Mus musculus: one gene and its partner. The protein of the gene in region 2 purifies or fractionates together with the protein of the main gene of each other region. This does not show direct contact. Links are inferred from orthologs where the notes say so. Each region holds a gene or a part of one and is shown on either strand. Other genes may lie near its edges.

Region 1 (15,521 bases), on a different chromosome or scaffold from region 2:
GGTAGTCCTGTTAGATGATCTCCATTTGAAAGATAAAAGCCAAGGCTTAAAGAGGTTAATTAACTGGACCAAGGTCACACAGCTAGCTCTCAGCAGGACTGGGGTTCAAATGCAGACCATCTGACCCACAGTCTGCATTCATCTGCCATGCTAAACATTAAAGCTACTTCACAGGTTTCCCATTCTTTCCTCCCACAGTACTGACGAGCTATTTTGAACCTCTGCATTCCCTGATGCAGTCATTTTTATATAGAAAAAATTCTCTATCGTGTTCAACCTTATACATTCAATCCCCCAACTGAAAAACAGTGGCAGCCACTGAAAGCACAGAAAGAGACTGGTCACCAATTTTACCCCCAGAATTAAGGAGGCTATTTATTCACTATGACCTACCCCAACCAGTCTTTCTGAAATGGAGAGGGAGTGGCTGCTGCATCTACCTCTATATGACCTCCATGCCTGAAGAAGAGCATTGTCTGTCAGCATACAAAGGAAATGGACCCTTATCTACCGTGACAACAGCACCACAGCACCACATCTGGGAAGCCACCTGAGTGGCAAAGCCTTGCAGGGCTACAGCTTGAGGTGATGGTGGAAACACGAGGACAAAAAGAAGGCTCTTAAGGACACAGCCCTCCTCCTCTGGGAAGCCTCTGTCCCACAGTGGGACTGTTTGGCTCAGGATCCCACACCTTGCTGATGCCACCCCATGTGGCAGCACTGTGTGGCACTGGGTGCCGGGACCTCAAACCTTTGGAGCTCCCTCTGGAATGCAAGCTCCCCAAGCTTCACTGGGCCTCTTCCTACCCAGACTGAGTCAGTCACTCACACAGGCACAGGCCTTCTCCTCCTGGAAGGAGTTGGCTCACAAGCTCATGCGGTCTAGGGGGAGAGAATCTTTCATCTCGCAGCACTTTCATCTCTGAGAAAGAGCCCCAAGGCTTCTTTCAAGTCACTGAGCAGCTGACAGCCCTGACTAAAATGTAAAGTTGGGCTGGGAGGAAGGGAGGGCGGGCGGGCGGGCGGGCGGGCAGAGGAGGAAGCAGAGGATTGTGTGATAGCTGAACATCTGGCCAGAAGTTCAGTCGACACAAGAAATGTCAATCAGAGCTCCAGGGCTAACAGGTAGCTACATAAAGGAGCTGAAGCGGAAGACTGGATGGGCTCCTCTGAAGGGACAAGACTGGGCCTACAGCCACACCTAGTAAAAAGTTGGGAACAAGCCAGGCGTGGTGGTGCACGCCTTTAATCCCAGCACTCGGGAGGCAGAGGCAGGCAGATTTCTGAGTTCGAGGCCAGCCTGGTCTACAAAGTGAGTTCCAGGACAGCCAGGACTATACAGAAAAACCCTGTCTCAAAAAACCAAAAAAAAAAAAAAAAAGTTAGGAACAGTGAGGCCCAAGAAATAGCTGACAGAAAAGGGCACAGGCATTCTTCAACGATGTGGGTTTTTTAAACCAGTACTCTTCAAACTCTGACACAGGAACCAAAGAACTATGACAATTAAATGCAGGAACCTCCACAGAACACTGAACTAAAAAAATGGAGCATTAGTGAGAGAGCCGGCAGCAGGTGCGAGCACATGCACACACACACACTTTTTTAAAGAGTTAAATTAGGTAAATTAGGGACTGGGAGATGGGTCATTGATTAAGGATACTGCAGCTCTTCCAGAGAAATCTAATTCCCGGCACCCATATAGCAGATCATAACTGTCTGTAATTCCATTCCCAGGGTATCTGATGCCCTCTTCTGGACTCTGAGTGCACTGCACCCAGAAGGTTCACATATGTGCAGCAAAACAGCCACACACATAAAATAACTAATTTAAAATAAATAAATAAATAAATAAATAAACAAATAAACAAATAAACTAATAAATAAGAGCCAGGTGGTGGTGGCGCACACCTTTGATCCCAGTGCCCAGGAGGCAGAGGCAGGTGAATCTCTTGAGTTCCAGGTCAGCCTAATCTACAAAGTGAGTTCCAGGACAGCCAAGGCTACAAAGAAAAACCCTGTCTTGAAAAACAAATGTACAAAAATGTAAGAGAAAAACTGTTCAGAAGGTGATGTGACAACCGTCCTCGGAAGGGAAAGGAAGGGCACCATCCCAGCCAGCAAGCGAGGCAGAGGAGGGTGAGCTTCCAAAAGAAGGAAACTCCACAGCACACATATCCCGTCCCCACCGTTAATCTGCACTTGACTAGCCCCAGCCCCCACCCCCCACCCCACCCCCAAGGCTGGTAAGATGGCTCTGCAGTTAAAAGCACTTGCTGCTCTTCCAGAGGACCTGGATTCAGCTCCCAGCACCCACTTGGCAGTTCACAACCATCTGTAACTCCAGGTTTCAGGAAATTTAATGCCCTCCTCTGGCCTCTTTGGCCACAAAGCATGCACATGGTACACATATGTACAACACAGAAAAACACTTACACTTATAAAATAGCAATAAATAAATCTTTAGAAGCAACATGGAAACACACCTTTGGGTGTATCTGTGTGGGAGTTTTTGACCCAGGAGGGAAGACCTTCCCTGAATACCAGCCCATGGACTAGGTTCCAGAAATAAGTGAAAAGAAAATTCCAGCTGATCACCAGTTGATCATCTCTGCTTCCTGATTGTGGATGCAATGTGACCAGGCCCTCACATGCTGGCTGCCATGTGATCCCTACCACAATGGAACGATAGTGACTAGAATGAGGGATGCCCCCCAAAGGCTCCAGTGTCTGAACACTTGGTCCCCAGTTGGTACCGCTGTTTAGGAAGGTTCTGAACTCTTTAGAAGGCAGAGCCTTGCTGCAGGAAGCCCATCACTGAGGGCGGGCATTGAAGGTTTATAGCCTGGCAGCACTTCCTATGTGCCCATGTGCACAGGAAATGTGACCTCTCTGCTCCCTGACTGCCTGCCCGGCAGCCTCATGCTCCGGCTGCATCCCTTCCCCACCGGGGAGGACTCTATATTCTGGAACTGTGAGCCAGACGAAACCTTTTCTTAAGTTGCTTTTTGTCAGGATTCAATCACAGCAACAGGAGAGTAACTAATATAAATTGTATTCCCTGTGACCAAAACACTGTGACCAAAACAAACCTTTGCACTCTTTACTTGCTTTCTGTCAAGTATTTGATCTTAGCATTAAAAAAATTAATACACAAGCCGTTCCCAAACAACTATTACTGGACACTGAGGATGGTAAGACATGCTGCTAGATGCTGGCTGCCTCCCTGAATTTACAGGAGGCACAGGAGCATACTGTATATTCTGTGATAAGAATGAGCGGGAGGAAAGACAGATGAGGAAGTCATGGCGAGAAGAAATGAACTTACAGGAGAAAAAACATGGAGAGAGGAAATAAATGGGGAAGGAACACCAGTGGAACTTGCTCTTTACCTGTTATTTATAGCCAGCTTGCTAACAAAATTAACCTGGGAAAGCATGAAGCTGTCATGCAAAAAGCAGTCTCTTTCAGTATGATCAGAATAATATTCTCAGGGTTAGAACATAACATGAAGCTGCCACAAAAATGAAGGATGCATTTTGAACTCAAGAGTTCAGACTTTCAATAATGTGCCTTACACGCCCAAGAACAACAAAAACAAAAACTGAAAAGGCTCAATTACAAACTGTTTTAACAGGGGGAAGCAGGTAGCAAGAAGTACAAATGATACACATGTACAAGAAAAATACACTCACTCAATAACTCTGAGCTAGCGCTTTATGTGCCTACTAGATAAATGGCAGAAATGTAAGTCACTACAAGCAGTACTATCAGGATGCAGTAAACAGGAGTGCATGGAGCTGAATGAAGGGGTGGCCCCACATGAGCGCTGGCCGCATTGTCCCTGCAGCTAAAGGGACCCCACTCTCTCTGGCTACTCCCCCAATTCCCTGAACACCCATCACACAACTTTGCTCCTAACAGTTGGCAACTGACCCCTCCCAGCCTCCTCTGCCACCCACAGACTCTTCCATCAGGGCTGGGATTCTAAGCCCTCTCTTTTCTCAATGACCCAACTGAATCCACGCCCTCTGATCCAGCACCTCCTTGAGCTTATCCAACTGCTCCTTACACAGTGCTCCCAGGATACTTACACACAGTGAGGTGTTTAAATGCCCACCTCACATCTCAGATCATGAATTCTTCAAGCCCAGATCAGGTCGCAATGATTTTAACACATGTGACCCTTACCTCAGGAAATAGCACAAAGTAATTATGAGTGACAAGGGGAGAGAGAAATGCCACTTGAACAAAGAAGCTCCACACAATATACCTCCAAGAACAAAAACCTGAATACTACCGAAATATCCAACTGAGGAGAAATAATGGAGGGGAAAATGGTCTATTATTCAAACAAAAGCTCACATACGTTAGAGAACAGCATGAAAGCTATGTAGAAAAGAAATGCATGCTTAAAATAAACAACACAAAAGAACCCATATGCAATACTTACAGGTACCCAAGCTGGGAGAATATGAAAACAAAAAAATAGTCCTTAGATACGGGTGATGGTTTTTCCTCGCCTCAAAATCTTTCATACTATTTTTGACAGTTGATTATCATTATCATTAAAATTTATTTCAAAAGTAAGAAATGGGAGAGGTGCAAAACAGAGATTGGTAGAAGCCCCTCCAATCCAAGAAAATGCTGATATTACCCACATCTGACAGGGGGAGTGGGTGTCTGCAATATCACCCAAGCCAAGGGTCTCTGACCCCAATCTGTCTCAAAGAGAATTTCTCTGGTGGTGCAAAGCCAGCCGTTCCCACCGAGCCAATCTGAACTAAATGTGAATTCTTTATTGCAAAACTTCAGAGGTAAAAGAACTTTCTCCCAGACATCTGTGGAATGAGTATTAATGAGAGTGCCCTGGAGTTCAGCTCTGCGCCTATGCGGCAGAAACTTCTCTGCCAAGCCACTGCTGGGCACACCTCTTGATGAGATGTCTAAGCCTGAAGGCATCAAAAAGTGCATTTCCATATTGGGAACATAACTGGTTTCCTCTTTAAGACTTTCCCCACCACCTCCTGTCCACATTGTAATTCTCCTGTCTTCTCAAATGAATTGTTAACATCTGTCAAGGGTAGAAGGCATGCACTGAGGCGCTCTTCTGCCTATTACCAGAAGAACCAATCTCAGCAGAAAATTGCAATCTTCCCACTGACTTGCCCCAAAAAATGAAATTTAATAAGCATGCTAAAAAAATTGTTAAACTTTTAATAAACACTTCCTATTGCTGTATGATAGTTCTTCTTGCTCACCTTAGACCCTGAGTTTCAGAATGGAAAGAACCAGAAGTTGTACTGTCTGACCTCCTCACTTTACAACTAACGGGAAGAACGATGTGCAGAGAGGGAAAGTGACACCCAGATAAGTGCTGATAAAGGCTGGATTAGAACCCCAATCTCTCAGGTCTCCAGCCCCAACTTCTTCACCCCATCAGGCTTTTTCAGCCCCTGGACTCTCTGGAGTCCCTGGCCTAAATAATTAGTATAGCAGAATTTTAAAGCTACTAGAGACCTCGGAGAGAGTCATACTTAATCCCCTCATTAGGCATAGGAGGAAACTGAGGCCCAGAGAGATTAAGTGATTTGCTCTCCATTTTGAGTGGCAGGGAAGAAGTACAGCTTAAGCTGAAAAGCCTGCAGACCAGTGCCCAGGAGAAGCAAGGGTCGTCTCAACTGGGAAAAGCTTAAGTGAATGCAGATGAGTCTAGACCAGGGTGCCTTTGTGGACAGTCCCTGACCACCAGTTTTAGCATCACCCCAAATGCACACCCCCAACTCTCAGGACACTGAGTCAAACACTTGAGTTGGGAATGGGATAGCTTTGCTCCCTTCTGTTCCCACGCAGGGAGCTTCCGTGCTCAGTGGCAGTCGGCTTTGCCAGTGCTGACTATATGCCACAGTGCTTACAATGTACGCTTTCTTCTACATAAGCACATCAACGCAAAGGCTTTTTTCAAAATGGCAAACATGCTTGGGTGTTCAGTGCTGGCTCTACTGCTTCCTGGCTTTGTGAGTTTCACAGACAGGAAACTTGCCTCCCTAGCTCCAGTTTCCCTTTCCATGAAGCAGTCACACCATCTCCCTTTGGAGGATGTGCTGACAACCATACCTGACAACTTATCTGCAAGCAAGTTAGTTCTGCCTCTGGCACACAGCAGACAGACCAGCAGAACAGTCAGGAGCTCCAGCTACAGAATAGGACTGCCTGAGCACTCTCTGGCTAGGTACCTTCAGTGGCTAGGTCTCAGTTTCTCCCTCTGTAAATCAGAGATTAAAACAGTTCCTCATACCGGACATGGCCATGCCTTTAATCACAGCACTCCAAAGGCAATGGCAAGCAGCAGGCAAATGTTTGTGAGTTTGAGGCTAGCCTGGTCTACAGGCCAGCCAGGGTTATATAGTGAGACTCTGTGGGGTCCAGGGAATTCCTCCTGGACTAGAGATGTAGCTCGCTTGGTAGAGTGCTTGCCTAGCGTTCATGAAGCCCCGGCTCTGTCCAAAGCATACCATAAGCCAGATGTGGTGGTGAACACCTGCAATCCCAGCATTTGAAAGGTGGAACAGGAGAGTCAGAAATTCAGGGTCACCCTTGGCTACAAAGTGAGTTTAAGGACAGCCTGTTCTACATAAGATCCTGACTAGAAAAGAAAGTTAGTTCCTGGTAAGGCTGTTATATGGATTTAGTGAAGAGGCAGATAAATAACTAATTATTTTGTGTAAGATTATCACTGTCTTCAAAGAACTTTCACTTATAACTAATTATTTTGTGTAAGATTATCACTGTCTTCAAAGAACTTTCACTTCTATAGGCTCATCTCATCCTCAAGATTTCCCACAGGAGGCCATGTCTGACTGATTATAGAGTAGACTCTATAGATTTAGACTACAGATTCTAGATTAGACTACCACCTTTTCAGATAGGAATGGAAGTAGACCCTGCTGAAAGGAACAGAGCTGTAATTCCAAGACCAAGATTCTGGAGACATGTCAGTCACTGCCTTGGCCTGTCAGTCACAGCCCTAGCTTGAAACCTTAGCTGGGTCTGTCTATCAGATCTGAGTTCTTAGTAAGTTACAAACAGTTAGGTTGAATGAAGACATCTGTATCACCTCTATAAATGCAAAGGCTTTTAAGGAAGTCCTACATCGTCTGTAGTCTGCCAACATTTCCAGCTCCATCCCCTTCTGGTGTCCTGCTCACTCACCAAGTTCGGGCTACACGGCTCTTCTCTCTACTCATCTAATGGGCCTAGGCCTGCACTCACAGTCGCTGCTCCTGCCTTCACTATTCTGCCCTGTCATATGCTGGCTCCTCAACCTTCAGAGCACTAATGCTGGCTCATCAGACTCCTTCCCTGATCACTCAGTCTACAGAGACCCTAAAAGGAGCTATTTACAATGGCGCTGGCCTACAGAAATGCAGTGGAAGTCACAAACTTTACATAGAAGATTAAACTTGGAAGTAGGCACAAAATTTAAGTTTAATAATCTATTATCCTTAATCCAGTATATCAAATGTAATCCATATTTAAAAATTAAGACATTTCATCTTTCCACAATAAGGCTGTGAGATGCAGGGTGCACTTTACACATAAGAAAGAACTTGATGCAGATGGGCCCCCCTTTTGACGTGCACTAGCCATGTGCACAACAGCCACCACGTATGCTCACATGTCCGCGGCGGACCCTGCTGCACTCCCTCACAACACGTCCAGCCATCTGAAGTTCTTGTTTACTTCCTTAGTTATTCTCTGGTGACTCCCCCACCATATTTGCCTTTTCACACAAAAGCAAGAGCCTTGTCTCATTTCTTTCCACATCATATGCTCAGTGGACCAAGTGCATTGCACACAGTAGATGGTCAATAAATATCTGTAACCAAAGAATGGGCCCCTTCTGGTAGTGTTGCTCCACATCTGAAACAATGGACTGGACTAGCCAGCCCAGAACTCCCAGACGAGCACTCATCGGTGACCTTCCCACCATCTTTCTTGTTTCATCACCAATTACATATCTTAAAGAGAAAACTATTATGGCCTCGCATCTGTTATCTGTTGCTTATGTATTCTTTCCCTTTTTTTCTTTTAATGTATTCTTTCTCATCAGGCCTGGAGTCTCCATCTACGGGGTCAGTGTTGTATATATTGGCTAAAGGAAATAACTACCAATATTAGTATTTATGGGCTGTTTTAACTGCAACAAACATTGGCCTAACACTGCTTTTTTTTTCTCTTTTCTTTTTTCTTTTCTTTTGGTTTGGTTTGGTTTCTGAACACGATTTCTCTGTGAGACCCTGGCTGTCCTGGAACTCACTCTGTAGACGAGGCTGGCCTCAAACTCAGAAATCCGCCTGCCTCTGCCTCCTCCCAAATGCTGGGACTAAAGGTGTGAATCACCAACCACCAGACATAGCTAGGCTTTTTGTTGTTCTTTCATTTTGGTTTGCTTTTATTTTTTGGTTTTTCAAGACAGAGTCTCTCTGTGTAGCCTTGGCTGTCCTCTGTAGACCAGGCTGGCCTCGGACTCAATGAGATACACCTGCCTCTGCCTCCCAAGTGCTGGGATTAAAGGCGCCAGCTTCTTAACAGACTCTTACCAGAAGAAGAACTTTCTTCACAACCGACCATAAGGTCGGTACCATGAGGTATCTGTTCAAGATTACAACAACTAGTTAGTAAGGCAAAAGGCATGGAAGGCAACCTGGGGCTCCAAATCCAGGCCTTTTATTTTATTTTATTGTAGTGGTGGTGGGGTGTCTCAGTATGTACCCCTGGCTGGCCTGGAACTCAGTGACCCACTGGCCGCTGCCTCCCTCCCAACTTTCAGGCACTGAGATTCAAGGCAGCCATGGCTAACAGCTCAGGTTCACAGGTTCTTACCGCCTACTCTGGCCTGCAGAGATATCACTTTTTTGTTGTTGTTGGTTTTGGGGGTTTTTTGAGTTTTTTTTTTTTTTTTTTTTTAGAGACAGGGTTTCTCTGTATAGCCCTAGCTGTCCTGGAACTCACTCTGTAGACCAGGCTGGCCTCAAACTCAGAAATCCATCTGCCTCTGCCTCCCAAGTGCTGGGATTAAAGGCACGAGCCACCACGCCCGGCCTAGAGCTATCACTTTTAAACTCAAGTTCACAGGTTCTCACTGCCTACTCTTGACTGCAAAGCTATCACTTTTAAAACATCACACCTTGAACAAAATGCAAGTGGATAAGGTTGGCTTACCCACTTTTTATTTCATCCATCACCCAAAGTCTGCTCCATCATATTATGGCCTCATACATATTCAATCAATATGATCAAGGATCTGTGATCAATATAAAAATACTACCTTTTTCATACTAAGTCTTTAAAATGAAGTGTGATTTACAATTACAGTACTTCCTAATTCAGAATAATTACAGTTTATGGGTCCCAACGCCTATTGCAGCTAATGAAAACAAAGATGGACACAAGAAGCCTCGTTAGGCAGTCAAAAGAGGGACAAAACTCTGAGTTGGGAGTCTGGACACTTGAGCTTTGTAACTGTTGAGTGACCTCAAGAGAGTCCTTTCTTCTCTCTGGGTCACCCGTTCCTCACAAGCACCCTGAGCAAGGAGGTCGAGAGGTCTCTTACCGACCCATTCCAAGCTCCGTCTTCCAAACAGCTTAACAATAGCAGGGAACGTGGGCACAGGTTTCTGCACTTTCAAATGACCTTTCACATACATCCATCCACTTTATAGATTTTAAAAGAAGAATTGAGACTCCGTGACGGGAGAAAGACTTCTCCAAAGCTACACTGACACTTGGTAAAGAAACTGAGGCTCAACACCGGGGGGGGGGGGGGGGCGGGGGTCTTCACAACTGTCTCCCCAAGCCCTGTGAATTGGTAGAAACGAGACGGAAGAGGAGCTGAGGGCTACCGGGTGGGGAACAGAAATCACAAGGCTCAGGTCTGGAGAAGGAAGGGGTCGAAAGGGTCCAGAGGGCTTAGGGGAGTGAAGTGCAATGACAGGATGCAAGCCCGGGTGACATGAGAAGTGAGGGCCAGGGACCGAGGGGAGGCAAGATGACGGGACTCTGTCCCTGCTACCCGAGCGAGGATGAGGAGCCCTCCGGCCTCGCCAACTGCTCTTACCTGGTAGCTTAAAAGTTCGCCCACGTCCATGGTTCCGGACCCAATCAGCACAGGGTACCCTGGTTGCCTCCACTCAACTCCCGAACCACGGGCCGCTCAGAGGCTTTTCCTGACACACTGCCGTAAAGCGCCAGGCCCCAGAACCAATAGAGTAAAAGAGCGCGTGGCCGGTGAGCCCGCCACACTGCCGTAAAAGGACGCGCTGCCGTAAAGCGCGCCGCGTTTTGACAATTCTGCTTCCGCCTGTAACCTGAAGGGGCGGGGAAAGGGGCGGATACTTAGGGGATGAACCTAAAAGCGAGGCCGTTATCCAAGAGTAGAGCAGAGTGCTTGGCATTTCGTGGGTAACCTTAAAGAGCTTCCAGAGACTGGCACTTTTGTTCTTTCATTCTCATTTCACAGATAATTGAAGTTGGCCTGTTGGTGGTGTTGAATGCCTTTAATCCCAGCACTGGGGAAGCAGAGGCAGGCAGAGCTCCGCAGGCATATGTTTTGAGTTCGAGGACAGCCTCGTCTACAGAAACGAGTTCCAGGACAGCTAGGGCTACAGGGAGAGAAGAGGGAGGGAAAGAGGGAGAGGAAGGAGCTGAGGTTTGAAATTATGCGCCCCATAGTTAGTCACATGTGGCTCTGGGGCACTTGAAGTGTGCCTAGTCCTAATAAAGATGTTAAGTGTTAATCAAATGCACAGTGGATTTTTCGTACTTGAACTGGTTCCTTTTTTTTTTTTCACTTACTGGGTAAAGGAAGATATATTATGAAATGAATTTGACTTTCCTCTCATTTGTTAAGCGTACTTAGTAGATATACTGAAATTGTATATGTGGATTTCATTTTGGGGTTCCCATTATGCTTCCCCTGGGCTTACAAAATGGCTTCCGGCCATAGGTGGCTGAGAAACCATTGATATCATGTTTGTTTTTTTCCCCCAGGCTTCTTTGTATTCACTAACACAAGACCCAGTGGCAACTGGAAGATCTCCTGTCTACCCAAGCTGTATTAAAGGGTCTGGGGGTCTGGAGACATGGCTCAGCGCTTAGAACCATTTACTGCTCTCTAGACGTCTACTTCCGTTCCCAGCACCCATGCTGGACAGCTCACAATTGCCTGTAACTCCAGTTCTGGGGGATCTGGTGCTCTCTTCTGGTCTCTGTGCAGACCCACAAGCACACGCATACACACATTTATATATATATAAAGGTTGGTTCCTGGGGAAGGAATTTGCCCATTATTGAGAGATAGTCAAGGCGTTCCTCTTCTGGGATTACAACAGACACCATCCAGAAACCCCATTCAACTACCTCCAACTACACATAAGAAAATTGTTATTCCTCAAACTGCCACAACCTCTCCTCATTATTCTCTCTGTTAGCACTTCCTCTACTGTTCACAGACTCAATCTGTCATTTTGTACTTGATGGTTGACATTTTATGTTTTGACAGCCTCATTAATTGGACTCCAAACTCTCTAAAAGTTGGGATTGAGTTTGTCAACCTCACCCTCGAATCTTCAAAGCCCAGAACAACGCATGACAGAGAAGGTTTCACCGTGGGCTTTGTGAGTGTTGTTAAGGAGAGTGGATTTTATGTTATCTACTTTGGGAAGTTGTTGAGATCGTCAAAACAGGGATGCTTTCTGATTGGGTTTTTGTTTTTAAAGAGTAGCCAATGTAAACTGCTTTTTACAGAGTTCATTTGCATGTCCTTCCCCTCCCTTTCAATTAAGTGTAGATTGTGACCTCCAGAGAGGCAGGACAGAATAAAGGTAACCATGAACAGAACTATTTTCTAGTTTGTGCCTTGCCTCAGTCAGCTTCAATAGGCAGATTTGCAAAAGCCCAGTCTGGAGGTTTGAATAAAAATGGCCCCCATGGGCCCATAGGGAGTGGCACTATTAGGAGGTGTGGCCTTGTTAGAGGAGGTGTGGCTTTGTTGGAAAGGTGTGTCACTAGGGAGTAGGTTTTGAGGTTTCAGAAGCTCAAGCCTGGCTATTGTATCACTGTCTCTCCCTGCTAGCTACAGATCGAGATATAGAACTCTCAGCTCCTTCTCCAGCACCATGTCTGTCTGCACAATGCCATGTTTCCCACCATAACCATAATGGACTAAACCTCTGAACTGTAAGCCAGCCCCAAAGAAACCTTTGTATAAGAGTTGCCATGGTCATAGTATCTCTTCACAACAATAAAACCCTGACTAAGGTAGGTGCCAGGGACTGGGGTATTGCTGTGATAAGCCTGACCATGCTTTGGTTTGGAGGAGTGCAGACTTTGGGATTTTGGATTAGAAAAGCAGTTGAATGCTTTAAGTGGGGCTTAATGGGCCATCTTAGTAGGAACATGGAAGATAGTGGTACCTGGAGTGATTTGAACCTATGGGGACCTGCCTCAAGAGGTTTCAATGGAGAAGAATGTTAGTGTGTGGCCTAGAGACTGTTCAAGGAGAAATGGGACAGCAAGAAGTAGAGTGGAGCTAAATCCTCTATTCAAGGAGATAATTTTTTTTTAATCTTGATGTTAAATGGAATGAAGGGAGCAGTGGCTTCATAGCAAGATCCCACCCAGCTAAGCTGCCAATTTATGAAAATGAGTTAAAGAAAAGGTCAGGGCCAGGTGTGATGGTGCACCCCTTTAATCCTAGCACTCCAGAAGCAGGGGCATACGGATCTCTCAGTAGGAGGCACATGCTTCTGGAGATTCCGCTGTCTCCAGCTCCCATCTCAGCACAAAGCCTTGGGATTACAGGTGCGCGCTATCATGCCTGGCTTTACACGGGTTTAGGGTTTCAAACTGAGGTCTTCAGGCTTTCAAGGCAAGTGCTTCACACGGGGAGTGATCTCCCCAGCTCCAGCATGGAGCTCTGGGAACATATACTGTAGTTAGGGAGAAAAATCTTAAACAAAAAATATTGTCCAGGGTTAAAATCCCAGGTGTGTACATCATGCCCAGCAGGCGTCAATAGACACTCGCTGACTAACGGCCCTTGACCGCACCAGCCTGGGAATCTCAGGCCAGTGCTTGTGGAGGCCCAAACTGTCTGCAGGTGTGCACCTGTTCTGTCCCTGCTCTGTTAGTGCTCTCCAGGGAGCCTCTGCACGGGTTCTTTATTGCCACCTGCTAAAGCACTTGAAAGGGAGCCTGGCCCCTGTCACTGTCATTATTGCTCTTCCCAGGGCACTATTCCCAGCTACCCCAATAACTGCAGGCCCCCAGAGGGGCTGTGGCATCTGCTTGGATTCTCACAAAAGCAATGTCATACTGCACCTTGCAGAAACGTGGGGTACAGGCTGTCATCCTCTGGGATGTACCAGTTTGGGCTCCGAGGCACTTCCACTTGACTCCCTGTCTTAGTCAGGGTTTTACTGCTGTGAACAGACACCATGACCAAGGCAATTCTTAGAAAGAACAACATTGAATTGGGGCTGGCTTACAGGTTCAGAGGTTCAGTCCATTATCATCAAGGTGGAAGCATGGCAGCTTCCAGGCAGGCATGGTGCAGGCAGAGCTGAGAGGCTCTTCATCTGAAGGCTTCTAGGAGAAGAGTGACTTCCAGGCATCCAGGGCAAGGGTATTAAAGCCCATACCCACAGTGACATACCTGCTCCAAGGAGACCACACAAACTTCAACAAGGCCACACCTCCTAGTAGTGCCACTTACTGAGCCAAGCATATACAAACCATCACATTCCACTCCCTGGCCCCTATAGGCTTGTTCAAACACATACATCTATGGGGGCCATAGCTAGCCATAGCATAATAAAAATGTACACTTAGTCCAACATAGTCTATACCAGTCTTAACAATGTTAAAAGTCCAAAGCCCCTTCCGAGATCCATCCAAAGTTTTTTCTCCTGAGCTGATGCCACTCCCTGTTAGCAGCTTTCCCTGGCAGGTATCCTGTGGTTCTGGCATCTTTAACATCGTAAGGTCAACTCCAGCTTCACAGCTTCTTGTTCCAGTGTCTTTGGTCCACACATGATCTGGGCTCCTCCAAAGGGCTGGCATCACTTCTCCAGCTCTGCCCTCTGTAGCACTCTAGTCTCTGGTTAACTCCATTCCACTGCTGCTGCTGTTCTTGGTGATCATCCCATGGTACTGGCATCTCCAATACACTGGGATCTTCCACTGCAACTAAGATTCACCAATAGCCTCTCATAGGATTTCTTCATGGTGCCAAACCTCAACTTCTTTGCATGACCCCTTCAGTCCTGGGCAATCAGTTGCAACTGAGACTGAATCTTCACCAATGGCCTTCCATGGCCTCTCAAAGTGCCCAGCCTCAGCTGCTCGCCATGACCCCTTCATTCCTTCAAAACCAATACCATCTCAATTATTCTTACATTACCAAGTCCAGCTGCAGCACAAGGTACAACCTTGGCTATCTCTGGAACACAGATTCTCTTACTCTCAGAAAACACTTCCCTGATTTCATTTCAGTGATGCCGGTCTCTTTGTAATCAACACTAATTTCTTAGCTCCAGCTAAGCTACACCAATTGTCACAGTAGTCTTGTCTATTCTTGACTCTAAATCCAGAGACAAATGACCAAAGCTGCCAAGATCTGCAGCTTGCTGGAGCTGGAACATGGTCCCCCTCATTCTATTACCAGCTTTCTTTTTTTCAACTCTTACTGCCTAAACTTGGCTGTCCTGGAACTTGCTCTGTAGATTGACTTTGAACTCAGAGATATGCATGGCTCTATCTCCTGGATTCTGGAATTAAAGGCATGTACCACCATGCCTGAACTTAAGCTTTTTCCCCTAGAACTTACTCTGTCCCAGGCTGGCCTTGAACTCAGAGATCTGCTTGGCTTTGTCTCCTGGGATTAAAGATGTGTACCACTGTCTTAGTCAGGGTTTCTATCCTTGCACAAAACATCATGACTGAGAAGCAAGTTGGGGAAGAAAGGGTTTATTCAGCGTATACTTCCACGTTGCTGTTCATCACCAAAGGGTCAGGACTGGAACTAAGCAGCTCTGAATCAGGAGCTGATGCAGAGGCTATGGAGGGATGTTACTTACTGGCTTGCTTCCCTGGCTTGCTCAGCTTGCTCTCTTATAGACCCCAAGACTAACAGCCCAGGGCACCACCCACAATGGGCCCTCCCCCCTTGATCACTAATTGAGAAAATGCCTTACAGCTGGATCTGGTGGAGGCACTTCCCCAACTGAAGCTCTTCTCTGTGATAACTCCAGCTTGTGTCAAGTTGACACACAAAGCCAGCCAGTACAACCACCATTTATGGTCCTAATATTTTCATGGCCAGTGTCCCTCAAAAACCAGTTCAAAAGCCTGTGTCTTCCAGACTCAGGATCTGGATCACAAGTGTACCCCCATTTCTGGATTATACTTCATTCCGGATTAGAAGTCCAAACTTCCCTAGATCAATTGCAAACACCAACAAT
Region 2 (14,853 bases):
GATGGCTTCGTTCTCAGTGGCATAAGCCAAGATACACACGCTCTCTTCCTTAGGTTGCCCTTGGTCATGGTGTTTTAATCACAACAACAGCAAAAGTAACTAACACACACTCACACTAATACACACACTCAAATGAATTAGTTAACATTGGAAGCCAGTTCAGTAGACAGAGCAGCGGGTGTTGGTGACTCAGAGTTTTGTGTACCAATGGTTTCCAGGAAATACTGGACATATTGCTCACTGCAGAGAAGGGGGTATATGCTATGGGATGCCATGAGAATTCCCAGTTAGAACCAGTTCTAGAGTTTGGGCTTTGGTTATGTGGTAGGAAAGGAGGGTGTGTTGTGGGCAATGTGAACCCTCTGGCTGGGCTTATGAATAAGCTCGTGTTTAGGAAATGCGCCTAGGACAGTGTTGTGGATAGCCCTGGGGCTAATTATACCCCCAAACCTTAGAAACCGCAAGTTCTAAAGGGTCTCATAGATGGAGAAGATGGTAGTGCAGCGGTAGATCTGCCCAATCTAGGCGCACAGCATGTATTCATATTAATTGAGTTGTGTTTTCATTGCCAGGGCATATTTGGGTGGAGATTTACTGCAACTACTACTGATCTTCTTGTCTCAGCCTCCCGAGTAGGGGACAGGCAGGTGTCACCATGTGGACTGCACTCTTTGCACCTGATGTCAGATTGCCCCAGCAGGGTTTGCTGACTCAGTACACCTTGGACCTTTATCTGAAATCAGTTGGTCATAGCTGAGTGGGTTAATTTCTGGACTCTCAATTCAATTCTATTTCATCAGGTATTTATTTCTCTAAGGCAGGCTCTCTCTGTGTGGCTATCTGCGGAGCACTCTGTCTAGATCAGGCTGACCTCAAACCCACAGAGAGCCTCCTGCCTCCATCTTTCCAATGCTGGGGGTTAAATACATGCGCCACCTTCCCTGTGATCTGTATGACTTTAATATATAAATGCTTTTTCCCGACATCATTTTATTCAGTAGTTCATCTCCAAAACTTTCACATTTTAATCTCGAATTCAGTTGATTTAAAATAAGCCAGGATGAACTTGCTGCACGCAGGGTGGGGGTTGGGGGTGGGGGTGGGGGTGGGGGTGGGGGTGGGAGTTGCTAAAAATCAAGAGCACAGCTGCCGAGCCATAATCATTACGATTTTGGATGATCACAATGACGAGTGCAGATATATAGTAATCTCTAAAGTTTCAAATTTATGAAACTTCAGGCACCCACTTTAATATTTCAGAATAGATGCCACGCAGCAACATAAAAAACAGGGATAGATGCAGGAAGGAATGGATGATCTTTATTTTTTTCTCCTCTTCCTCAGCAACTTACATACAATAAATAACGGTCGTGTATACAGGATTTCTTGTGGGCCTTTTAATTGCATTATAATGGCGACTGGGTGATAATTGCACAGGGATATTTTTTTCTAATATTTTTCTCATTAGCAAAGATCGTTGTTAGGGAGACCAGACATAAAGAGGGACAAACTGGGAGTCTATGTTGGTTTCCTACATTTCGTTGGGCAAAGCGTCATTTCCTTGCCACGGTCTTGCGTCTTGCATTTTTCCCTTGTTAAGTATGATTTACCAGAACCCAATTCTGGCTGTGTTGTTTGAAATAGGGTCTCACCTTACAGCTCAGACTGGCCTCAAATTTACAATCCTCCTGCCTCAGCTTCCTGAATGCTGGAACTATAGGTGAATGCCACTTTCCCTATTTTGCCACCCTCTTACACAGTTAACAATTTGGGGGAGCAGCATCACACACATATAAAAACTAAAAATTCTGTTTAACCGTGTTGGCATCCATCACAGAGAATAAATCACTGCCCCATACTCAAACGACTCCCAGGTACCCATTACTAGAAGTTTCTAAGTCACAGGCTCCTTTAAGTCTTGTTCCCAAGGTCGCAAGGAAAGGAGAGTTGGGACTCGGGGGCAATTTCTGCCGCATTCTGTCTCTGCGCCCTTGCAGAGCTTCCACCGTGTTGGGCCAGAGAATCCGGAGGTTCATCACCTCCGTGGTCCGTCTCAGGCACTATGAGGAGAGCCCGGGGAAGAATTTGCCATTTGTAATGGAAAACGAGTAGCGGTTCCTGGCTATGATAACTATATACTTTGGATCTGGGCGCTTTGCTCCTTTCTCTACAGCAAGGCACCAGTTAGTTAAGAAATAAGGATGTTTGATCCCTTTAACAGAATTACTGATGTTTAAGGGACGCGATCTGAAAATTGGGTTGAACCCTTGAACTCTTCTTCTTGATAAGACTGTGAGTAAACTAATGACATTAAAAATGAAAAAGAGTCTGTGTTTCCAGGGGATTTGCTTCTTGAGGCGTGAACTCATTTTCAGAGTGATTTCTTCGTAGTCCTCATCTGCATTTTAAGATCCTTTATTGAAATCACCCAGAGGCGATCGTGCATTCTTCAAATCCCACCCCAAGCCCTTTCACATACAAATGTGAAAAACACGACGGACAGTGAAAACATACAGCATGTGCCTGAGTATTAATGCTTTTGAGAGAATGGCTTGTGATTGCTCAGACAGAGACTGTAGGACAGCCCCGTGACCTTGTCAGAAAAGGACCCCTGAAAGTGAGCCTTAGAGGGAAAGAATAGAAGAATCCGTCACTGATACCCCTGAGAATTCAAATGAATCAAGGAACACAGGGTGGGTGTAACAAACTGTGTGGTCGTCTCCATATGCTTTTCCATGCTGTTGAAAAAAAAGAGCATCATTCACGACCCAAAGTCTGGAAGTTCTGCTGTTCCCCAGTAGATGGCGATGTTGCACAGCAAGCTCAGTTACATCATTGCTCTGGCGGTCCTGTGCAGCTCAAGTATTTTTTAAAAAGTCATATAATTTCCCCCTACACTTATAAAAGTGAGTACTTAAGAAGAAAAACATGTAGTTGAAGGGTTGTTTTTCTATCCAGTCTCTTCAGAGAAATTTCATCACGTGTGACATTCCAGGAGGTTGCTTTCAAAATCCCAACATACGAAATGCATCTCGCAAGTCATCGACTTCGTACAAGGGCTGTGGAGAAAGAGAGATGATATAAACGGAGTGAAGGGCTTTAAATTTGATCTCTGGAAAGGAAAGTGTCTAAACGAAGTGGGTGGCTCCAGAGGAAAGTAAATTGCTTGAGGACCAGGAAAAAAAGAAGGGGCGAATTCTGCCCTGGAAGGAACCCCACCTGAGGGGAGGTTAGCAAAAGGAAAGAGTTATGAAGACTGAGCGAAGAGGAGGCAAGAGGCAAGCGTCTAAGTGGAAGCTCTGTCCTGGGTAAAGCAGAAAAGAAAACTGGGTTGTAAGTGCCTTGAAGTAATCATTGTATAAAATAATGCATAATACAAACAAATAACTAAGAGGCTCCAGGTGTGTGTGTGTGTGTGTGAGTGTATGTATGTGTGTGTGTATGAGAGAGAGAGAGAGAGACAGAGACAGACAGAGAGACAGAGACAGACAGAGAGACAGGCAGACAGACAGGCAGACTTACCAAAAGGATGCGCCGAAGTTGTCTGGTTAGCCGGACAGAATTTTCATGTAGCCCTTCCCAGGCTTTGAAAGTTCTTTCACGATTTTCTACAAATGTATTCCAGCAGTAAAAATAGTCTTAAAAGAAAAATAAATAGATAAATAAGAAGGAGGTGTGTGTGTGTGTGTGTGTGTGTGTGTGTGTGTGTGTGTAGGTGAAGGTCAGAAAGTCAGAGTGTTTTAGGGGTTAAACTTAAGGTACAAAGGCAAGGGCCCCCACGGAACCATCTCTCTGACCACTATCCTCCTCCTCTCCCTCCTCAATTTATTATTTGACTGCTAAAGGTGGAATGCAGGGCTTTGCACATGCTGGACCAGAGTTCTGCCACTGAGCGCACCTGTAGCCCTGCCAACTTCTATCTCTCAAATTCTGATAATTCTGAGATTGATGTATACTTGTAATTCCGCCACTCAGAAGGCAGAGGTCGGAGAATTGCAAGTTGAAGGTCAGCCTGGGATAGCGAGATCCTACCTCAAAAAATAAAGTAATACTTTTGATATCCAGGACGAACTGAAGGTCTTTAAGTAGCACCCCACCCCCAGTTTCCCCGCTGACACTCACTCTGAGTGGCAACTCAGACCGCTCTCTCCAGTGTGCAAGTCTCACCTTTGAAGGTCATGATCCCGATCTGGACCCCAGCGCGGTGCAGTCTCCGCAGCCCCTCAGGCTCAGCCTTGCGGTCTTCACAGAAGTAGAGGCGCGCGGTGAAAATCCTCAGGCTGAGGTTAGGGTTCCATCTCAGAAACTCAGCCACGTGCCGGGCACAGTCATAGCACGGGCTCCAGGAGGTGAACCAGGTGACGCGGTAACACCGGCCCGGGTCCAGGTCCCAGTCTGAGATGTAGCGTAGGAACAACAATTCCACGTGGCAGCCAGACTGGAGAAAGAGCAGAGAGCACTGGTGACGTGACCTGCATGCTCTCCCACCCAGGCCATTTGGGATGCTTGTGGGGATGTCGCACTGGCTTGACCTGGAACTCATTATGTAGACCAGGCAGTCCTCAAACTCACAGAGATCCATCTGCCTCTGCCTCTGGAGGGTTGGGATTAAAGGTGTGTGCCATCACTCCCAGCATAAAGATAATTCTCTTATTAAGATAGCACTTGTTGGAGTCAAATGGCTTTATTACACTGGCTTTGTTGGGTAAAGGAAAGCTGCACATCTATGGGACAAAGGATACACACCTTGCAGGGATTACCTTCGTGTCCCGGAAGTGCCTGTTTGGACGCCACGTTGTAAAACTGCAAACTGCACCTTGGCCACTAGGTGGCGCCAGAATAATTTGTAAGGAGGGAGGAAAAAGCTTATTGAAGAGATTTCGTCTCTGACTTGGCGTCTGGCGTTTTAAGTGGAAGGCAATTAAGGGGTGTGTGTGTGTGTGTGTGTGTGTGTGTGTGTGTGTGTGTGTGTGTGCGCGCGCGCGCGCGCGTGTGTGTACATGCTATGTGATGCCAGTGACTGTAATAACTGCAATCGTAATAGGCCCATCTCCTATTGCGAAAATCGTTTGTCGAAGACTGAAGATAGTTTTTCTTTTACTCATCTTTTTTTGCACTATTTCCTTAGCAGTAAATCAAGCTGGTGTTGTGTGCGAAGAGAAAGTACCACTTGATCAAGCTGTCTATAAATACAGTGTGTCATGACTCCAAGTAGAGAAGGAGAAGCCCATGGAAGCCAATCTGCAATTTGGTGAACTCTCTTAGAAACGCAGTTCTTTCAGGCAGCCGAAGGATTATCTAATTACCCAAACAACAGAGACTTCTCTCTGGTCCCTGAAGGAAACTCATTGGGTTAAAGGTGGTCGGTCATTGGCCTCTCTGGTCTTTTGGGAACAAAATTGTTTGGGAAATAAAGTTGAGTTGATGTCATTTTACCTATTTTTTTCCTCATTGATTTTCAAAAATTCTGAAGATATAATTTGTTTTTCTCACTCAAGAAAGTGCTTGAGAAAGAACCCAGAGCTGAGGGATTAAAGGGCTGAGGGGCTGAGGGGCCAGAGGCGGTTAGGGGAGGGCTCAGGGGCGGGGCTTGTCTGGCAAGGCAGATCCTTCATTTCAGCCCTAGCACTGTGGAAATACAGGCATGCACCATTATTTCACTCTTTGTTTGCTTGTTTGTTTGTTTTTCCAGACAGGGTTTCTCTGTGTAGTCCTAAAACTCTCTCTGTAGACCAGGCTGTCTCAAACTCAGCAATCGGCCTGCCTTGGTCCCCTCAACATTTGGCACCAGGGGCAGCCATAGCTTTAGTGTCAACAGCTGCCACCCACCCCCTCCCCAACCCCGCAACCCCCCCCCCACCTTGTTGCGAAGGTGGCCGAAGTCCAGTGAGCAGGAGGTGGCACTATCTCTCCTCTTCACCACGTAGCAGAGGTAGGTCTCATGCCGTCCCTTGGCCCAGCGGACATTTTTGAAATGGTAAAGAAACTTCTTTTGCTTCATCAGAAGGCTGTGAGTTGGAGAAGAAAGTCAGGGCAAGGCTTCTCTGTCACCATAGTCTTCCTTCAGCTCTGATTATTATTGTTGCAGCTGCTGATGGCTGGACCTACAGCCATAGGCAAGGTAGCTGAGCGCTTCAGCACCGAGCTGCATCCCCAGGCCTACTTTGATCATCATGATGTTTTAAATCTTATCATTATATAGGTTAAACCAGAAAGCATAGTCGTGCTTCCTTTTCTGGATACCTGAGACATGCTCACTTTAAAATCCTTCCCTGCCCACCCTCTTCCCTTTCCTCTTCCCCTCCCCCCTCGCTGCAACAGTCAAACTAGGTAATTACCCTTTATTACTTTTTATTTTTTAATGTATTTATTTATATAATTTATGTATGACTGCTCTGTGTACATGCATGCCTGCATGTCAAAGGAGGGTGTCAGATCCCATTGTAGATGATTGTGAGCCATTATGTGGTTGCTGGGAATTGAACTCTGGTCCCCTGCAAACACAGCCAGTGCTCTTAACCACTGAGCCATCTCTCCAGCCCAGCCATCTCCCTAATCCTCCTACTGGGCTTTGGACATGGTCTTAGACACCTTTAACCTTCTGCCCTCCTGTCTCCCCGCTAACCCAGTAGCATCACAGAACCAGAAGTCTTCCAAAAGCAAGTTATAAAACATGGCAAGGGCCAGGTTAGGTTGCTTGTGCCTGTAACCTCAGCACTTGGGAGTGCGGGGGTGGGGGGTGGGGGGGTGGCGGGGGGGAGTGGGGGGAAGGCTGGGGGAGGGAGGTTGCTGTAAGTTTGAGCCCAGCCTGAGCTCCACCACAAGAACGTAGCTCAGTAGCTCAGCAGTTGCCTATCATGTATGAGGCTCTAGGTCTGACTCAGTACAAGACAAAGCAAAGGAAAACATAGAAAGTCACTCTCTACTTCCAGCACTTGAGCCACAGCGAGGAAGGAAGACAACAGGGTATCAAAGCCACTGAGCTCCTGCGAAAAGAAAGGTCACTCTCTTCCTTGAAGAGCCATATTCTGTGGGTGTCCTGTCTCTATCCAGGAAAAGGAATGTTGCAGATGGGCCTTGCTGGGGGCGTCCTTCCTCCCTCTCTAAGCACAGGGTCATATGAGGTCATGTCGACTTGCGATCACGTTGCTACATAGTATCTATCCATTCTTCATTAAACAGAAGTATAAGAAATAGTTGCCTCTGTGTCTTTAAAAAAAATCACATTTGTTTACTATCGTTGTATGAATGATATGTGTGTAGGGACATACACATACCTGTGGAGGTCAAAGGGCAACTTGTGGAAGTTGGCTCTCTGCTTCCATCATGTGAGCTCGAGGGATCAAACTCAAGACATCAGGTTTGGCAGTTTATGCCTTTACCTGCTGAGCCGTCTGACAAACCACGCCCCCCTAACCCCCACCCCTGCTTAGGTCTTTGGGTTTTCATTTTTGGATTTTGCTGGGTCAGTTTTGTTGATTTTATTTTATTTATTTATTTTTATTGTTTGTTTTGAGATGAGAACTCATTTAGCTCAGGCTGGTGGGGAATTTGACAAGGAGAACTCTCCTGCCTCCTCTACTCCCCTGGTCTTGGGACAACAGGCTTGTCCCACCTACTTGTTGGGGACTTAACCCAGGGCTTTGTGCATGCTGGCAAGTTCTCTAGTAGAGCTACATCTCCAGCCCCCGAGGTTTTTTTTTTCTCGTTCGTTCTTTCTTTCTTTAAAAATACAGGTTTTCTGGGGACTAGAGAGATGGCTCAGCAGTTATGAGCACGAACTGCTCTTCCATCAGGCAGCTCACAACCACCTGTCACTCCAGTTCCACCAGGATCCGACACCTCTGACTTTTGAGGGCACATGCATTGACACACACACACACACACACACACACACACACACACACACACACTTAAAAATAATTTTTAAAATCTTTGTGGAGTGTGTGCGTGTGTGTGTATGTGGTGGGGGTAGAGGCAACACATACTACAGGATACGTGTGGCGAGCAGAGTACAACCTTGGGTGTTGGTCCTTGACTTCTGTCTTGTTTGAGATAGAATCTCTTGCTCTCTGCTGTGCGCCCTGGGCTAACTGGCTCATAAGCTTCCTGGGGTTCTCCTTTCTCCACCTCTTATGTTGCCTTAGAAGCACGGGAATTACAGGTGTCTGCTTTTGGACCCCTCAACTCAGGTCCTTTTGCTTTCATGGCAAGCGCTGTTCCCACAGAACCATATTCCCAGCCCTCACGTTTCTTAAAAAAAAAAAAAAATTACAGTTCCTGTTAAAGCGGTGGACATGAGCCAGGAGATAAAACGGATGATAAACAACTGTGTCGCTCACTTGTCGACACAGCACCGCCACACAGTGGTGATGGATGGAAGTGCAATGATTTTTTTTTTAAGAGCTAGTTAGGAATTTGAATACGGTTTTGATGCAAGAGAATTGAAACCGTTTTTCACTTTTGTTGTTGTTGAGATACAATTTACATAGTGAGCTCCACTCGCTTAAAATCTACAGCTCCGTGAATGCCGGCAGGTCCGCAGCCCAGACTGCCAGGGCCATCAGAGGAGACATTTCTAGGCTTCTTAAAGCTTCTATGTCGCTATTGGCTGTTCTTTCTCCTCTTACCCAGGCAACCGCCGACCTGCTCTCTGTAAATGTAAATTATTTCTAACTTTCTATAATTTCATATAAATCACGTTTCCTCCTTCCTGTGTAACTGCTCTCACGGAACATAGTAAATTTTATATTCACCCAAATATCAGAAGTTGGCTCCTTATTCCTGCCGAGCAATATTCTATTGTATGGGTAGAACATGTTTTGTTTATTCATTTATGTGCTGATTGAAATTTGGATATGTTCCGCTTTGGTGCTGCAGTGGTTAGAGCCACTATAAATAACCATATACTATCATTGAATGCATGTTCACACGTTCACAGCTCATGCTTTAATGATAGTTCAACACACGTGACAGTCCCTGACTTTTGGAAAAACAAAATTGTTTTGGGGACATGCTCATGCTGCGGGATCCATGCTAGTCTGGAAATCTCTATGTTGCTGCAGCTGGCCTCGAACTCATGGTCCTCCTGTCTTGGCCTCTAATGATCATAGCTTTATTTTGAAATAGTAATTTACCATGATAACGATCATAGTACCTCCATGTCTACATTCATCACTAAATTATAAAAACCCTTTAGAAGCTGGGCATGGTGTGCACACCTTTAAATCCAGAACTTGGGGGCGAAGGGGGGCAGAGGCAGGTGGATCTTTCTGTAATGGAAGCCAGCCTGACTTTCATGGAGAATTCTAAGCCACGGGGGCTATGTGATGACACAGCATCATTATCATCATCACCACCACAGTACAGGTAAACTCAGCATGTTATAATAATAAGCACAGGTATCTCTCTAATCCAGCCAGTTTTAAACAGCTTAAACTTCATCTCTTAGCAATAAATTCCCTTTCTATTTAACTAAACTTCCTGTGTTACCTAGATGGGAAAAGTAGAGAATCTTTTTCAGTGGGTTGAACATGGAGTCTTGTACCTGCTAGTGAGTGCTGTGCCACAGAGCCGTACACACAGCCCTAGAGAACTTTTCCTACATACTGTGGGTAGCAAGTGTACATACGTGCTTATCTCTCTCTTTCTCTCTCTCTTACTCTGTGTGTGTGTTTGTGTATTTATGAGTGTGTATTGGGGGTGGATGCTGAAATTATGAAGGAAAGGTATCCTTGGAGTTTAGAAAGGATGTGTCTCAAATAGAAGAGTTGTGTCTGAACCACAGGAAGATGTAATAGACTGTTTCTATTTTAAGATTCCAGCCACGGTGGGAGGAGCTGCACAGTCCTGACCTGTGGACTGGGCACCTCCATCCAGCACTCCCCTCAACTCTAGCTAGGAGCCTATTTCCAGCTCCCTCTCCTCGGGATGTCCCTCCCGGTAAGGAGGACTTTGCTAGGTGGTGTCCCAAACCTGTAGATCGCCAGCTGCTGAGACAGCTGTGCTCCTTGAGGCAGAACCTTAGCTGCTTCCCCAGCAATGCAAACCAGACTCAAGGGGTTAAAAATAATCCCAGCCTAGTAGCAGGGCTGCCTTGAGTTACCCGCTGCCCTTGCTCCAGTCCATGCCGTGCCATCCTGTGTCTCTCCACTGTCTTGTTTGCTTCTCCCTGAATCTCAGCCTCGTCTTTGCTTTGCATTTTGCCATGCTCATGCATTTCTCTCGGACCCTTCTCCATCAGGACATAGATCTCAGATTTGGTTTCAAAATTCACTATAAACCCAGAAGCAGCTCATGCTGTCTGCCTGCCTCCTGTGAACATTTGTTTGTTTGTTTGTTTGTTTGTCTGTCTGTCTGTCTGTCTGTTTGCTTTTTGAGGGCTCAGGATGTAATTAAGTGGCAGATTACTTGTCTAGCATGTGTGAGGTCTTCAATGTGGTCCCTGATAGGGGTGAGGGAGAGTGGGAGGAGGAAAGGGGGAGGAGAGGGAGGAGGAGAAGGAGGAGAAGGAAAAGGAAGAGGAGGAGGGGGAAGAGGAGAAGGGGCAAAAGGAGGAGGAGGAGGGAGAAGAGGAGGGAAAGAGATGGGGAGCAGGAGAAGGAGGAGGAAGAGGAGGAAGAGGGGGAAGAGGGGAAGGGGAAGAGGAGGGGGAGGAGGGAGAAGAGGAGGGGAAGAGATGGGGAGGAGGGAGGAAGAGGAGGAGGGGGAGAAGAAGAGGGGGTAGGAGAAGGGTAACAAAAAGAAAGAAGGAAGACAAGAAAGGAAAAATCTGGAATCTGAAGAACACCCTGCTACCATTAGCTATATTAACTCCATATTCTAAACCTCATAGCCAAACGGAAGTGAGCTCAAGTGTATGGGCTTTAGGCATAGTGACTCACACACTGGCAATAAATGTAAAAATCAAGAGAGAAATTTCTGATAATGGCTCATCATGAGCTGCATATAAAAGCTTTCAAGAAGCTAAGAAATCTCTGCATAGATGAATTAAACAGTAAAAATGTCACCAAGTGTCTAACAGTTGAGTCTATAACACTAAATTGCCTGTCTTAATGAAATTCTCTCCTTCAATAGACACCATTGTAATGAGTTGCAAGCAATTCATCTCAAATGTTTAGTTTTTTTTTTTTTTTTTTTTTTTTTGAGAAGTACAAATCTTCTTGCTATAACTAAATAATTCCTGTAAAGACTCCCCATGCGAGTCTTAAGATGTTGGATATTTGCCAAATAATTGTGAAAATAACCACTACTGTTTTTAGTAAGGAGTTGCTACGACCTCTTTGTGGCGCGGGCCTCTAAGGCTTCGCTGTTATTACCACAAGCCGGCTCTAGCTCTGCCCAAATCTCAGGACAAGTCAAGGCTTCCTATCTCTAGCAACACAGAGAAGAGAGAAACCGGGGGAAGGGAAGAACTTCGTGGTCAGAGTTAGGTCCAAAACCCAAAAGACCTGAGCAGAGGGTGGCAAGCAGACGAGGAAATTCGCGCACTGACAGGCAAAGCCTCCATCCAGACAGGCAGCCAGCACTACTGGAGCACATGCACAAGCAGATGAGACTGTCTTGTTACCTGTCCATATCGGTCTCCAGCGTGACTTTCTTGACTCCCTCAAAGTCTTAGGCCAAAGGAAGCTTGCTTCAAGCAAGGCTGCTTCAGTGCTGTTGTGTGACAGAGCACTGGCCCCTGGCATTCAAATCTGAGCTTGCTCTTGTGGGCTCCTCCCCCACGACAGCATCACTACCACCAGGTATCCAACATCTGCCTCCTGGGTTGGGTCCAGTAAAGATGGGCGGGGCTGTGGTGGGCAGAGCCACACGGATTAAATGATTGGGGGGCGGGGGGCAGTTCTGCTCATGCTTAATGTCCAACTTCCTTCGAGGCTGTTCCTCTAAAAAGCCAGCCCAGGTACCACAGGTAACAAAGATCAGGAGACAATAGCACTGGACACTTTTCACATTGGTATCATGATAATGAGCTCTGTGAGTGTGTGTGTGTGTGTGTGTGGGGGGGTCCCAGGTATCACACCTAAGGTCTGTGCATGCTTCCTAATTTTAAAATTGTGATAACAAGAATGATAGCAGTCATAGTGACTTAAAGTGGCCTTAAATGCATCTTGTGCTTCTTGAACTTACAGTATCTGTTCCTTCCGTTTGTTACACTCAGTTTTATGCCTCAGTAGAGATGGGGGTTGACCACCACAGCATCCAGAGAGTGAACTTTAGCCTCCTAATTCTCTAATATATTTTTCTTTTTTTAAAATGACATTATAAGATAGCTAGAAAGACTAGTTGCTTGCACCAAAAAGTGATTTATTTTAATTTTGTGTGTGTGTGTGTGTCAAAAAGTATTTTTTTTTTAAAAAAGAACTCTTTTTCCTCATTAAAAATACCTTACTGGAGGCCTGGAGAGCTGGCCCAGTGATTAAGAGCACTTATTTCTATTGCAGAGGACCAGCAGGCGGTTGAAAGCCACCATGTGTGGTTGCTGGGATCTGAACCCTGATCATCTGGAAGAACATCCTTTGCTTTCTTCCTTCCTTCCTTTCTTATACTCTTCCTTCCTTCCTTCCTTCCTTCCTTCCTTCCTTCCTTCCTTCCTTCCTTCCTTCCTTCTTTCCTCCCTCCCTCCCTCCCTCCCTCCCTCCCTCCCTCCTTCCTTCCTTTCTTCCTTCCTTCCTTCCTTCCTTCCTTCCCTTCCTTTTTTTAGATAGGGTGTCATTATGTAGCTCCTCTGGCTGGTCTGGAACTTTCTATATAGACCAGACCAGTCTTGAGCTAGAGACTGGATCCCGTTGCATGCACACAGCACATGCCCCTGCCCCTATTTTGTTGCTGTGAAATCTCTCTGTGCAAAGTCTCATAGTTCAGGACTTGGCTTACTCCCTGGCAGTTTAGCCTTCCCTGGATATCATATCTGAAATGTTAATGAGCCCCCATCCTCCTTCTTCCTCTAATTAATTTCCTCTGCATTATCACATCACTATCAGAGACACAATTTCCCTCACTAGTGAATTAATGAATTCCTGGGAAAAAAATTTCAGGGCACCGGGAGTAACCAGCACCAGCCGTGACATTACAGGGTTAAGGGAACCCAGGTGGTGGGTGGACAAGTCCCTCTAACTTGTCTCACAGGATGAGGCCCGGACCTTTGCCCTACTTTGGCCAATTGTCCAGGGAATGACATACTGAGACACACGTACACAGCCTCCCAAAGGGCCGACTTGATGGATATTGGCAGAGATGTTGTGATTTCTTTACATTTTAAAAAATTATATATATATTGCTGTGCTTGGCAGTGGAGGGGTATATGAGGCACGAGGGCCAGAGCTTATGTGTAGATGTCAGAAGACAATTTACAAGACTTGGTCCTCTCTGTCCACCATGTAGATCCTGAGGCTTGAACTCAAGTAGTCAGGCTTTGCAGCAAGGACATTTATCCATGGAACCATCTTGCCTGTTCTGACTGACACCATTTCTTTAAAAGGGAGAGGGACAGGGAGCAGCAGGGGCTGGAGAGATGGTTCAGTATTTAAGAGCACTGGCTGTTCTTTCAGAGGACCTGGGTTCAATTCTCTGCATTCACATGGTGGCTCACAACCGTCTAAGATGAAATCTGATGTCCTCTTCGAAAAAATACCAATATACATAACTAAATAAATAACTAAATAACTAAATAAATAAATAAATAAATAAATAAATAAATAAAACTTAAGAAAAAGCAAGCAAGGAAGCCAGTGGGCGAGCTGGAGAGATGGCTCAGTGGTTAAGAGCACTGACTGCTCTTCCAGAGGTCCTGCGTTCAATTCCCAGCAACCACATGGTGGCTCACAACCATCTTTATTGTGATCTGATGCCCTCTTCTGGTGCTTCTGAAGACAACTACGGTGTACTCACATACATAAAATAAATAAATCTTTCAAATGTTTAAGGAAGAAAGAAGGAAAGGTATTCCAGACCAACCAAGGGCTACATAGTGAAACCCTGTCGCCAGACAGACAGCGGAACAGGCAATCCCGCCCCCAAGACAAGTATGGCAGTCGTACACGATCAGAATTCTAGCATTCTGAAGATTAAGGCAGGAGGATTCCTGGAAGTTTGAGACTAGCCTGGGCTATGTGTCCAGTTCCAGGACAATCATGGAACCCTGCTAAAAAACAAAAACAAAAAACAAAACATAGAAATAAAGAAAGGAAATGTTTTCTCGTCTTCAAGGAGAGGTTCCACACCACTGCGGCTTGCTCTGAATGTGGCTGCGCAGGCTCTGCGTGGTCTCTCTAGGCAAACTGGGGCCTTTTGGACCGGAGAAAAGCAGCGTATTGTTGATGCTTATCTTCTGTTTGTCTGTGGCGTTTCTGTTTGTTTGTTTGCTTGCTTGTTTCTTTGCTTAAGTGCAGGATTCTGTGGCAATGGTTACACTCGGAACCTAAACCTTTCTCATCCTTTTGTGGGGCAGAGACAAGTCAGGGGGCTGAGTTCCGGCTCCTCTTGCCTCTGCCTTCTGAGTACTCAGAATGCATGCTTGCGTAGCAGGTCTGTTTGTTTCTAAAATTTAAACCAATTTGTAAATTTTATATTTATTTAGTGTGTGTGTGGAGGTCAGAGGACAAATTTCAGAAGTCCGTTTTTGCCTTCCATCACCGGGGTTCCAGGATGGTGGCAAATGCCTTTACTTCCAGAACCATCTCACCCACCCTAAAACTTTTATTTTTAAATTTTAATTTTAGAGCGAAATGTAGTGGCACCTTTAATTCTACCATTCAGGAGGCATAGGTAGGCAGATCTCTGTGAGTTCAAGCCAGCCTCGTCTACATGGAAAATTCCAGGACATAGAGCCGGTCTCAAAAACAAACAAAT

What was found.
Region 1: the proteins of Aicda (region 2) and Ctnnbl1 purify together in Homo sapiens (affinity purification with western blotting; 3 studies listed by BioGRID, with this or other methods). This does not show direct contact. The link is inferred for Mus musculus from reciprocal best matches to the Homo sapiens genes AICDA and CTNNBL1.

Annotation. Positions count from the first base shown.
Region 1 is NC_000068.7:157,732,156-157,747,676, reverse strand, and holds the start of Ctnnbl1 (beta-catenin-like protein 1), read right to left. Parts: upstream 10,277-15,521; 5' UTR 10,148-10,276; coding exon 10,118-10,147; intron 1-10,117. UniProt on the Homo sapiens protein: Component of the PRP19-CDC5L complex that forms an integral part of the spliceosome and is required for activating pre-mRNA splicing.
Region 2 is NC_000072.6:122,550,626-122,565,478, reverse strand, and holds Aicda (single-stranded DNA cytosine deaminase), read right to left. Parts: upstream 11,671-14,853; 5' UTR 11,578-11,670; coding exon 11,570-11,577; intron 6,009-11,569; coding exon 5,861-6,008; intron 4,439-5,860; coding exon 4,168-4,438; intron 3,639-4,167; coding exon 3,523-3,638; intron 3,060-3,522; coding exon 3,006-3,059; 3' UTR 1,299-3,005; downstream 1-1,298. UniProt on the Homo sapiens protein: Single-stranded DNA-specific cytidine deaminase. Involved in somatic hypermutation (SHM), gene conversion, and class-switch recombination (CSR) in B-lymphocytes by deaminating C to U during transcription of Ig-variable (V) and Ig-switch (S) region DNA.